Linked DNA regions of Saccharomyces cerevisiae S288C. The protein of the gene in region 3 binds, or shares a complex with, the protein of the main gene of each other region. Each region holds a gene or a part of one and is shown on either strand. Other genes may lie near its edges. The genes, in order: RPB8, RPA14, RPA12 and RPC19.

Evidence for each region.
Region 1: RPA12 (region 3) and RPB8 share a complex: the UniProt entries of both Saccharomyces cerevisiae proteins name them as parts of the RNA polymerase I (Pol I) complex.
Region 2: RPA12 (region 3) and RPA14 share a complex: the UniProt entries of both Saccharomyces cerevisiae proteins name them as parts of the RNA polymerase I (Pol I) complex.
Region 4: RPA12 (region 3) and RPC19 share a complex: the UniProt entries of both Saccharomyces cerevisiae proteins name them as parts of the RNA polymerase I (Pol I) complex.

Annotation. Positions count from the first base shown.
Region 1 is NC_001147.6:760,243-762,792, forward strand, and holds RPB8 (DNA-directed RNA polymerase core subunit RPB8), read right to left. Parts: upstream 1,024-2,550; coding exon 583-1,023; downstream 1-582. Other genes in the region: DSC3 (Dsc3p), read left to right, coding at 1-418; putative iron-binding protein ISU2, read right to left, coding at 1,372-1,842. UniProt on the Saccharomyces cerevisiae protein: DNA-dependent RNA polymerases catalyze the transcription. of DNA into RNA using the four ribonucleoside triphosphates as substrates.
Region 2 is NC_001136.10:767,911-770,438, reverse strand, and holds RPA14 (DNA-directed RNA polymerase I subunit RPA14), read right to left. Parts: upstream 915-2,528; coding exon 501-914; downstream 1-500. Other genes in the region: HOM2 (aspartate-semialdehyde dehydrogenase), read right to left, coding at 1-82; YDR157W (uncharacterized protein), read right to left, coding at 107-508; peptidylprolyl isomerase CPR1, read left to right, coding at 1,439-1,927; ENT5 (Ent5p), read left to right, coding at 2,468-2,528. UniProt on the Saccharomyces cerevisiae protein: DNA-dependent RNA polymerases catalyze the transcription of DNA into RNA using the four ribonucleoside triphosphates as substrates. Component of RNA polymerase I (Pol I) which synthesizes ribosomal RNA precursors.
Region 3 is NC_001142.9:553,432-556,102, forward strand, and holds RPA12 (DNA-directed RNA polymerase I core subunit RPA12), read left to right. Parts: upstream 1-1,763; coding exon 1,764-2,141; downstream 2,142-2,671. Other genes in the region: NTA1 (amidase), read right to left, coding at 45-1,418; chaperonin-containing T-complex subunit CCT5, read left to right, coding at 2,483-2,671. UniProt on the Saccharomyces cerevisiae protein: DNA-dependent RNA polymerases catalyze the transcription of DNA into RNA using the four ribonucleoside triphosphates as substrates. Component of RNA polymerase I (Pol I) which synthesizes ribosomal RNA precursors.
Region 4 is NC_001146.8:410,719-413,717, reverse strand, and holds RPC19 (DNA-directed RNA polymerase core subunit RPC19), read right to left. Parts: upstream 948-2,999; coding exon 519-947; downstream 1-518. Other genes in the region: DEAD-box ATP-dependent RNA helicase DBP2, read right to left, coding at 1-79; YNL115C (uncharacterized protein), read left to right, coding at 1,665-2,999. UniProt on the Saccharomyces cerevisiae protein: DNA-dependent RNA polymerases catalyze the transcription of DNA into RNA using the four ribonucleoside triphosphates as substrates.

The DNA.
Region 1 (2,550 bases), on a different chromosome or scaffold from region 3:
GTTTGATAGGCTACGATCCGTGGGATTTACTGAGCAAGAAATCGAACTGCTGAGGCAACAGTTTCGGGCCACGTATGGAGATTTGGAGGAGGAGGAGGAGAGACTTGCTCAAAATGGCAACAGAGATGATGAGGGCCATGACATTAGACAGTTGGAGGAACAGTGGATGGAAAGCGGGAGTGGGACCGCTCAGGGGAATGGGGCCGGAGGCGGCAATGAAGACAGGTTTAACTCTGTGCCGATCGCTAACATAAAGCACAACAAAGACTTGCTTTTAGGTATATGTGTCGGATTCTTCTTCGGCGTCTTTGGTATACTATTAATGAAGTTTGATGGATTGTTCAACAGACGGCAAAAAATGGCGATTTTTGCCGGTGTGATTGTTAATGTTATGTTTTGTCTTGTGAGAGGTTTTTAGTAGTGAGGCGATTAGATGTCGTTTTCATGTACAATAATGATATTATTTTTTTTTTTTCAATTTTTAGTATTTTACATGGCATTCTTACACTTTTATAAAGTATTATTTATATTACTAGTAGCAGTAAGTGATCGCCCTTTTTTTTAGCACTCGGTCCAATGCTGCTAACGACGAATCAAAAGATAAGCGTTCTCTTGCTTCAAGTTATTCAAATTTCTATAGTTACCTTCTAATCTCATTAAGAGGCCACCGAATGAGTAGTAAACGGCAATTAGATCCTTGCTTACTTCCTCAAACTTGTAAGCGGTACCATACATGACGTAATCATAATCATCTGCAAGGGATCTGTCACCAGCCTGTGGAGGTCTCCAGCTTCTTGTCGCAGAAGAGTCGTTAGCTGGGGTGTCTTCGAGGTTTAAAGAGGATGCAATAGTCACTGTCAAAGAATCTTGTGCGGCGACGGGAAACAATTCAACATTTATATCCAAGGTTAGTTTGCATTGGTCCTGAGTGGTAGATGCGGCTTCGATACGGCAGACTTTGTTATAACGACCGGGATCAACTTCCGAGACTTGGAATATATCATCAAATAGAGTGTTAGACATTGCTGCGGTTGTTATGGAAGCAATGAGCTGGCAACTGGGCTTTTATAGCTGCCATCACAGTTTAAATATTCTGAAATTTTTCATCTTAGTTTTCGCTTTAGAAAAAAAAAAATGTGAAAATGAAAGATGAAAATAAGACCTGGAGAAAACCTATCACGTCTGACGAACATGAAAAAACTAAGTCAAAATTTGATACATAATGTCACTAGTATTATGACTGTTTCTGATATTAATTACTTATTATTATACCTAATTATTCTTTTAACCCTTTCTATAAAACAACCAGAAAAAAAAAACCGGAAAGAGAGGACCTCTTGTATTTTATCATATTATCGTATCGCCTCTCTTTCAATGCAAAACGGAGGGGTTCCTCTTTGTTTTGTAGTCCTTGATTGCCGCCTTGATAGCGTCTTCTGCAAGCATGGAACAATGCAGTTTTACTGGAGGAAGACTTAGCTCCTTCGCGATTTCCGTGTTTTTAATTTTAACGGCCTCATCAAGTGACATACCGCGTACCAGCTCGGTCATGTAGGAGGAGGAAGCGATGGCAGACCCACACCCGAAGGTCTTGAACTTAACGTTCTCGATAATACCCGATTTATCATTCACCTGTATTTGTAGTTTTATCACATCACCACACGCAGGGGCGCCCACGATTCCTGTGCCGACATTAGCTAAGGACTTATCCATGGACCCAACGTTTCTTGGGTTTGTGTAGTGGTCAATTACCTTAGGATGGTAAAGTCTTTTGGCAGCTCTTGTTATGTGGGAGCCCGTGAGAGGCTTGAAGTGGGCAGGATTAGCGAGTCTGGCGAACATCTATGCTGTGCTATGTTTGTTGGTGATGTATGAGCTGTAATGAAACCTCAGCGTTGTCTACATATGCTTCTTTTGCTGTTGTTATATACTGCTATACTGCTGCACCGGCCGGCCCCAGGTGCTTATTAATAGTAGGTTCCGCATAGGGAAAAAACGAGGGCGCCAAAAAACGTTGGGCCTGAACCGGACTCTGAAACAATAGAATCATGGTGACTCGGATATATGCAGTATGCTGTGTATCTGTATTATGGGTGTACATATATAAACATCTGACCACTATAAAGTTGCAGTCATAATTCCATACCATGCCTTTCTAGACTGGGAAGGTGCGGACCCTGTAATGAAATAAGAATAATTCCATAGTGGTTTGGCGTTTCCTTTTCCGGGTTATGCTTAATTATTTCTTGAGTTTGTCTGCCTTTTGTTTTTGCTTAGTAACGTTAAGGGGCAGGTTAAAGAAGCGACATGATTGACAGTTCGATGGGTTAAGGTGGAAAGCGAACCCTCTATAACTTACATTTGACTCTTCCATTTGGTTGCAGTTGCCACATTTCTCGAGAACTAGCCTGTTCCCGTTTTATTACCACTTGCATTACGTATTTTCTCCTTTCCTCCTCGCACCAGTTCCCTTCCTTCAGTGATACTGTCGTCTAATATTTGACTGAGTCCCTTCCTTTTTTCTTCATTCTCTTTGGCCATTGTATATGT
Region 2 (2,528 bases), on a different chromosome or scaffold from region 3:
GGTGATTTGCCAACAACAGAATGAAACGTTGACCAACGGAACCAGTAGCACCCAAAACACCAGCAATTTTCTTTCCAGCCATTTTAGAACGCTTTATTTCTACAATTTAATTTGTATGTGTACTTAAGTGAAAACAAGAAAAACAAGATTTAATTTTATACTCGAAAGTGAATGAACAAATAAATATGGTTCTTTTATTTATTTTTTCTGCTTTTCTATTTTTCTCTAACATTTTGAACTGGTAGTAGTCAGAGGAAAATGAGTCAATCAATGCTTGACAACATGATTTGGAAAAAAAAAAAGTGTGAAAAAAAAGAAAACCGGGTACTTTGAGGCCGCTGCCGGTGATATTTGGATCTGGAAAGAAAGAGAAAAAAAAGCACTGAAGACGTTCAGATGTCAGAATTCTAACTGATATGCATATATTGTAGTATACAGAAGGCGTATGTGAATGGATATGTAGGATTTTGTGTAAAAGGGCAAGGCTGCTGCTACAGGTCTCACTCATCGGCGAATGTAGTTTTCTTGCCGCCGGTGGCACTAACACCTATGCTTGTCTCCTTCTTCTCCGTCGTGGAGACCTGAATGGGCGCGGCGGAAAAGTCTTGGGCGGGTGGCAGACCCTTGAAGTCTCTCTGAATCCTCTTTAATTGCGATATGGAGCTGGAAAGGTTGGTGTCGATGTTGAGGCTGGTGTTAGCCACAGCGGCAGCGTCCGCGTCAGCGGCGTTGCCGCTGATGGTATTCATGGTAGTACTATCAATAATGTTCTCCTTCTCATCGATAAAGCTCTCCAGAAATTGAAGAACCTCGTCAGTAGAGACATGTTGGGGCAGCTGCGTGGCATGAATGACCACAGGCGTGTTTAGCGTGGTAGCAGTGTTATTACCTGTTCTTCTAGAACCTTTCATCATCTTGTATTATCGAAATCTTACCTCAGACGTCTCCAGTTCTGCTCTGCCTTACCGATGAGACCTCTATAATCAATGTGATTTAAACATATGCATCATCTTGAAGTAAGCTCGAAATGAAAAATTTTACACCCGCAATATGCTTACCCGTCGCTGTTAGATGTTACCCGCCTTTCGCCCCTTAGGGGTTTCCACCGCCCCCCTCGTCCTCTACGGTATTTTCTGGGGCGCCCAGCCCGCCACGTCCCGCCTCGTCTCGAATTTCTTCCTCTGCTAGACGGGCTTCCACGCGCTTCCACTCATTTCTGTCTCTGGTAATGGCCGTGGCCCTTCTCACTTTGGTTGGGCTTACGCTGACAAGTGTCTGTTCGATTCCCTGTATAAATATAAACGTATTCTCTTGAGCCTTCTATCCTTTTGCCACTGTCGTCATCATTTGTTCCTCCTTTTTCGCTAGATAGGTTATATTAAGATTTGTCTTGAATTTAATATCTCAACTCAATCCAAACTCAACCGCTAATACTACCATGTCCCAAGTCTATTTTGATGTCGAAGCTGATGGCCAACCAATTGGCCGTGTCGTTTTCAAGTTGTACAACGACATAGTCCCAAAGACTGCAGAAAACTTCAGAGCTCTATGTACCGGTGAAAAGGGATTCGGCTACGCTGGCTCTCCATTCCACAGAGTTATTCCAGACTTCATGTTGCAAGGTGGTGACTTCACTGCTGGTAACGGTACCGGCGGTAAGTCTATCTACGGTGGCAAATTCCCAGATGAAAACTTCAAGAAGCACCACGACAGACCAGGTTTGTTGTCCATGGCCAACGCCGGTCCAAACACCAACGGTTCTCAATTCTTCATCACCACCGTTCCATGCCCATGGTTGGACGGTAAGCATGTTGTCTTTGGTGAAGTTGTTGACGGTTACGACATCGTTAAGAAGGTTGAGTCCTTGGGTTCTCCTTCCGGTGCCACCAAGGCTAGAATTGTTGTTGCCAAGTCCGGTGAATTATAACCGCTCTGCCTGGAACAATACAGCAAAAATTGAAACGAACTATTCTCTCTTAAATTATATGTATATGTATAAGGTATGTGTATGTATGACAATCAATTCTTATAACTAACTCTTCCTACCTATATCGGAGTATGTTGCCAGGCTTGCCAACTAGCCAACTACCGCCTAGGTTATGCCTGTTAAGTTGACGCCGCCGGGTACCGCCCCCTGTTTTTCCCACGTTTCTTTCTTTCCTCTAGGTAACGGATTTTCGGCTTATTTTCCACAGCGAGAAAATTTTCTTTCTCCTGCACTTTTTTTCATATTCAGGTCCTTTGATCCATTCATTCATTCTTGTTTTAATTTCAATCTAGATTTTAGTTTTCGGTTGAATTTATCTTTAGTTTTTTATCAATAAGAATTGGTCTAGCTTATCTTTCCAGGCTGCTTATAGTTTACTTTTTTTAAAAAATTATATTTCTATCCAATATACAAATCGGAAGGGAAATTCATATACACAAATTAAACGTTCCAATTGCATAAATACCAACACCATACAAAATGGACTCATTATCAAAAAAGATTCAAAATTTAGGTATCCATGATATTAGAAATGCCGCAA
Region 3 (2,671 bases):
GTAACCTTATTAATTTATAATGTCTAATTTATTATAATATTCCTTCACCTAAACACTTCAAATTGGACCTCACGCAATATAGCGCCTTCTAGACCCTTGCCCAAATTACCCAGCAACTCTACGCTTTCATTGAGAGAATCAAGCGAACTCTCATCATCATCCTGTGAACCTTTAGGTTTTTTACCGTTAAATTTATAAATGCCAGAACTTCCTGCAAAAATCGTGGTACCATCTTCAGTACCACATCTGTTAGCTAGCACCAAAATCGCATTCTTTCCTTGGAACTTCCAAGGCTGTCCAAGGGAGGTTCCCAAAAATGTCTTTTCCAGTACTGTATCCTTTATCACTTCCTCAGAATCCAATAAGTCTATTGTGTCCTCCTTGTGCTTTCCATCTTTATAATATTCATGATCTAGGGGCATTCTAGTTTTGCCCAAAATGCTTTCGATAAGAGATGAATTTTTAAACCAATTAATTCTGGATTTAAAGTACAAAAAAGGAAAAAATCGTAGAATCCAGTAGTTTACGTTTGACATATCTGGTTCATCCATATCCTTATATTCACTTGTACTGTCGTCAGAAGGCACTCTGGGCGTACGTTGCGAATCACCAATTTTAAGCTGGTAAATTCCTTGAGATCCTGCCAAAGGCAACCCTTGCTCCTTTAAAGCGAAAGCTATTTTGTTCTTAGCGGCTTCTAATAATGAATTGTTATGTAACGTCTGTTTGTCTGTGATAGAAGTAGAGTTTAACCACGCCATTGGACATAGAATCAATTCAACATTATTGTCAACGCAAAAAGAAGAGAATTCAAAGTGATTAAAGGGGGCCATGAATTTGTAGGGACTTAAGTCCATACAAATACCTATTGATGCTTTCAAAGTCACATCTCTGTTGTAAGAGTCCTCATTAGAAAGCTTAGCACACTTTGAAAAATCCATGGGAAACGTCTGAAATCCCTCTGGATTCTCCTCGCAATCCCAATTCATTTCTGTATCATAGAGAAAAGTCTTTCTGTAATTAAAGATCTGCTCCCCCTGCGGATTTACTACCAGGGCAGAATTGTATAGCTTCTGTTCATCATCATCTTCAGGATATCCTATTATAGTGTAGCATTGAAATTTCTCGGATATTGATTTAGCCAGTTCAAAAGAGGGCCCTTCATCTTTCTTAGTAACATAAGGTAAAATATCTTTTCTGGCATGAAAACTGTAACCTGTCAATGCAAATTCGGGGAATAGTATTATGTCTGGTTTCACATAGGTGGCACTTTTCGTAACTTTATCCAATATTGACCATGTTCTCTTAATTGTTTGATCTACTTGCCCAATTTGCGGATTGAGTTGAATTACTAGTACCTTTAGTGATACTAAAAGTTTTGTGCTCATCTTAGCACCATGAATTGCGTCTATTAGCATTCACTGAATGTCACGATAGAGTTATCGCTGTAAACTAGCACTTTTTAGCATTGAAATGCTTAAAATGTGTGAAACTAAAGTGGTTTTATTTCCAAAGAAGGGTTATCCCTTACTAGGGCAACGAATGAATATCTATTAGGGCTATAAAACAAAAATAGTTAAGTGAGATATATACCCTCTTGAATGGTGCAGGGTAAATAATTATATATCGTTACGAACGAAAGATGAAAAATATGAAAAAAAAAAAAATCAAATTTATGTCAAGTGAAGGGCATTGCATGGCAAGTGTAAAGAATCCAAGAAGAAAAGAAAGGCTTAAAGCAATCCAGGTTAGTACTTATAAGAATGTCTGTTGTAGGATCGTTAATTTTTTGCTTGGACTGTGGTGATCTCCTGGAAAATCCTAATGCCGTATTAGGCTCTAACGTTGAATGCAGCCAATGTAAAGCCATATATCCCAAGTCACAATTCTCCAATTTAAAAGTCGTCACCACGACGGCAGACGATGCGTTTCCATCTTCTCTTAGAGCCAAGAAATCCGTGGTTAAAACTTCTTTGAAGAAGAACGAACTGAAAGACGGCGCTACTATCAAGGAAAAGTGTCCTCAGTGTGGAAATGAAGAGATGAACTATCATACTTTACAGTTAAGATCTGCAGATGAAGGTGCTACTGTCTTCTATACATGCACTTCCTGTGGTTACAAGTTCCGTACCAACAATTGATTGGGTTGTGTTCGCACATATTACAATTTGTACATTAATATCATCCCCGCTTTCATCATGTGAACATCTATAGAACATCATTTATAAAAACAAAAAATCTATGTACTGACGATATAATAGCGTACATTATCATATTATTCTTACTATTTATCATACTCATCGCATCTACTGTTCTCGAGAACGTGTAAAGTGATTTATGCCATTGAATGAAAAATTTTGTTAAGGAACAACTAGAAATATAATAGTGTCTTGGTGGATGTGGCAAATGAGGTGTGCGTGATAAAGAGCTACAAACTCAAAGTAATAACAGCTATCATCCATTTTTATAGCAATATTTGAAAATGGCTGCTCGTCCACAACAACCTCCTATGGAAATGCCGGATCTGTCGAACGCCATTGTGGCACAAGACGAGATGGGTAGACCCTTTATTATCGTGAAGGATCAAGGTAACAAGAAGAGACAGCACGGATTAGAGGCCAAGAAATCACATATATTGGCTGCTAGATCAGTAGCTTCTATTATCAAAACT
Region 4 (2,999 bases), on a different chromosome or scaffold from region 3:
TTCTTCCACCGCGGAAGTCGCCACCTCTAGACTTGTAGTTAGTCTTGTTATATTGCTGATCTCTACCACCGTAAGTCATATTTGCTCTAAATTTGCCTTAATAGTGCTTAATTCTGTTACAGGTTGTTGACAAGAAAATAATTTGAATGAGATACAGAAAAGTATAAGTTATTTGAGCGTAGGACAGTCTTTTTATAAGACAAATAAACTGAAGGAAAAATTTTCTGCGATGAGCATCGGCGTAAAAAAAAAAAAAAAAAAAAAAAAAAGAAATAAAAAAAGAAATAAATTTTTCAATCATTCAATACGGAATACGCCTTTAAAAAGGAATTTCGAATTCTCAACATTATTAGCACCTTGTACGAAGGTGTATTTTTATCTGGTTATATTATACATAGATTTTAAATAGCACGACTATAAACGGGATACACAAATCAAGCTGTATCTATACTAGCGTGGTGTGCATAATTATTAGAAATTTCAGAGTGACAGAGGGTCTTTGAGTCGATCCGTAACATCTACATGCTCTTGATTTTTTCAGTAAACTTAGATTCTACAACGTCACATAAATCCATCAAGTCCTTTAGCCCTTTTTGAAGAGCATCCACCGCGGTCGTTTCACCGTAGGTTTGAATTCTGATATTTAATAGGTTTTCAGAAGGATGAGGTATCGAGTAACCACAAAATTCTACGTCTGGATTTTTCATTATAACGTAACGAAGGGCATTTCCAAGCGTGTGATCCTCCTCTACAATTTGAAAAGAGGCACTAGTTCCATCTTCAGATGTTGCCTGTGTGAGAAGCTTAATTTTTTCCCTGTCTGGTTCCTCTTCCTGTTCTTCATCGCCAGTCATATCAACATCCTGTTCTTCTTCTTCTTGGATGTGCTTTGGTTCTTGTGGTGTTACCTCTGTAGCGGTCTTTTTTTGTTCGATGTCTTCAGTCATTTGCCTGGTACTTTATGTGAAGTTCAATTTTTCCGACTTTGGATTGATGGCCTTTCCCCAATTCGTTACTTTATACCTCAGCATTAGTATGGTTTTCTTTTGAAATTTTTTTTTTTTCCAGCTCATCGCAGGTGAATATTTCTATCACTTGTTACGTTTACCATTACCCGGATTGAAGTAAATATGATTCACCCCAATAAAGCTGTACAGAAGAGATAAGATGTAGCTTTATTAGAACAAAGTTTATCACGTTGTTGGTACTTAGAATAATCTATGATATTGTTGCGTCTTTTTGAATAAGCTTTCTTGCGTGCCGTTTTTTTCGGTTTTTTTTTATATTTCTGCCCAAAAAACGTAGTTCAAAGAAAAGGAACTATCCCAAAATAGAAGCAAGTTATGTTTAAGGAATTAAAAAATGTACCTATAAAGCACGTTTTTCTGATATGTATATGCCTATGTAATGTAGAAGTTGTCGAATCAGCAATCGTATTGGTCAACCTTGATGGCATGTTCTCAGCACGTTTTGAAGTGGCTATGCATATATAGTGTTCTTTAATCTATTCCTTGCAAGGCTATTCGGACCCCTAATTTTAACCATCGTGCAGTTTAAAGGGATGAGAGAAAAACTAAAAGTTAGATGCCTTGCTATATTCTATAAGGAGGAAAGGAAAGGAAAGCCATTGAAGAAAGAACTGTAGGCATCAGAGCGAACAGATCATGAAGGCTAATGGTTTAGATAATGATCCGGCAAGGACGGGAATGGAAAGAACAGATATAGATAGTGAACACCCAGAAGCGCAACCGTTGCTGAACAACAACCACCGGACCCTTGGTGCAGGATCCGCGAATGGCCCAGCAGTTAATGAAGGTCGTGACATTGAATCCGATGGGTTCATCAAAGATAGTCTCTTTCAAATTCGCAAAGGTTATAGAATCTTTATTCATAACTCCAAATGGATATTAAATATCCTAATTCTAATTAACACCATCTGGCTAGTCACCACTTTGATTTCAGATTTCTTTTTCAATATCAATATTCTTTTCGGATTCAGTAACAGGTACGCAAGTTTTAACGACTTGACTTTAATATTCATCTCGATCATAGCTAATTCTTTCAATCTCTGGTTTAATAAGCTGGGACTGTACTCAGCTTTAGATTACAGCTTAAATGTAACTCTCTGTGTTTTGACGTTGTTCAATCTAGCATTGACCTATCTAATTAAATACACTAGGCAAAGAATCGGCTTTGTGGGCACGTTTACATATTTGTGGACTTCGTTTTCATTTTTTATTGGGGCAATATTAGATTGGTATCTCTTGTTTTACAACAACTCAATAAATGAGCCATTGGAGGAACGCAGAATTGATGATGCTAATATTAGTACTTTCAACGAAAACCATACAAATAGTACCGAAAACAGGGACAGAAGCCAATATGGCTCTGGGTCGCCAACCCCCACCCACCGCTCGCAGCTGGTCCAAAACAAACATACATTGACAGAATGGGTATCCATTGGGTTCAGGAATACTATTAAGTTTTTAATTTTAATATTCTTCGCTTTATTCACCCTGAATACACTTTTAACGACATTGGATACCTACAGATTGACTCACAAATTACCAATAACCGTTCAGTCGCCCTCGTACGAGGCGTTCCATTACGTAGATGCCGCTAAAACCTATCAGTTGCATATAACTTGTTATGGTGACGTATTTGATCAAGAAAACAACACAGATTTGTCTGAAAATAAGAAGCAACCTATCATCTTGTTTGAACACGGAGGTTATGATACTGGTTACCTTTCTGCCACCTGGATTGAGGAACTATATCATTTAGACAAAATTCAAAGATATTGTCTATACGATAGACCAGGGTACGGGTTGAGCGATTCTCCTCCCGCCCCAATCTCTATTGCGATGGTTGCGGAATCTTTAAGGTACGCATTGATCAAAGATGCAAAAATTAAAGGTCCCTTCACTACAGTAGGATACGACCTTGGCGGGCTATTTACAAGAGTATTTACCGCCAAGAATGTCGATATTGTGGATAGC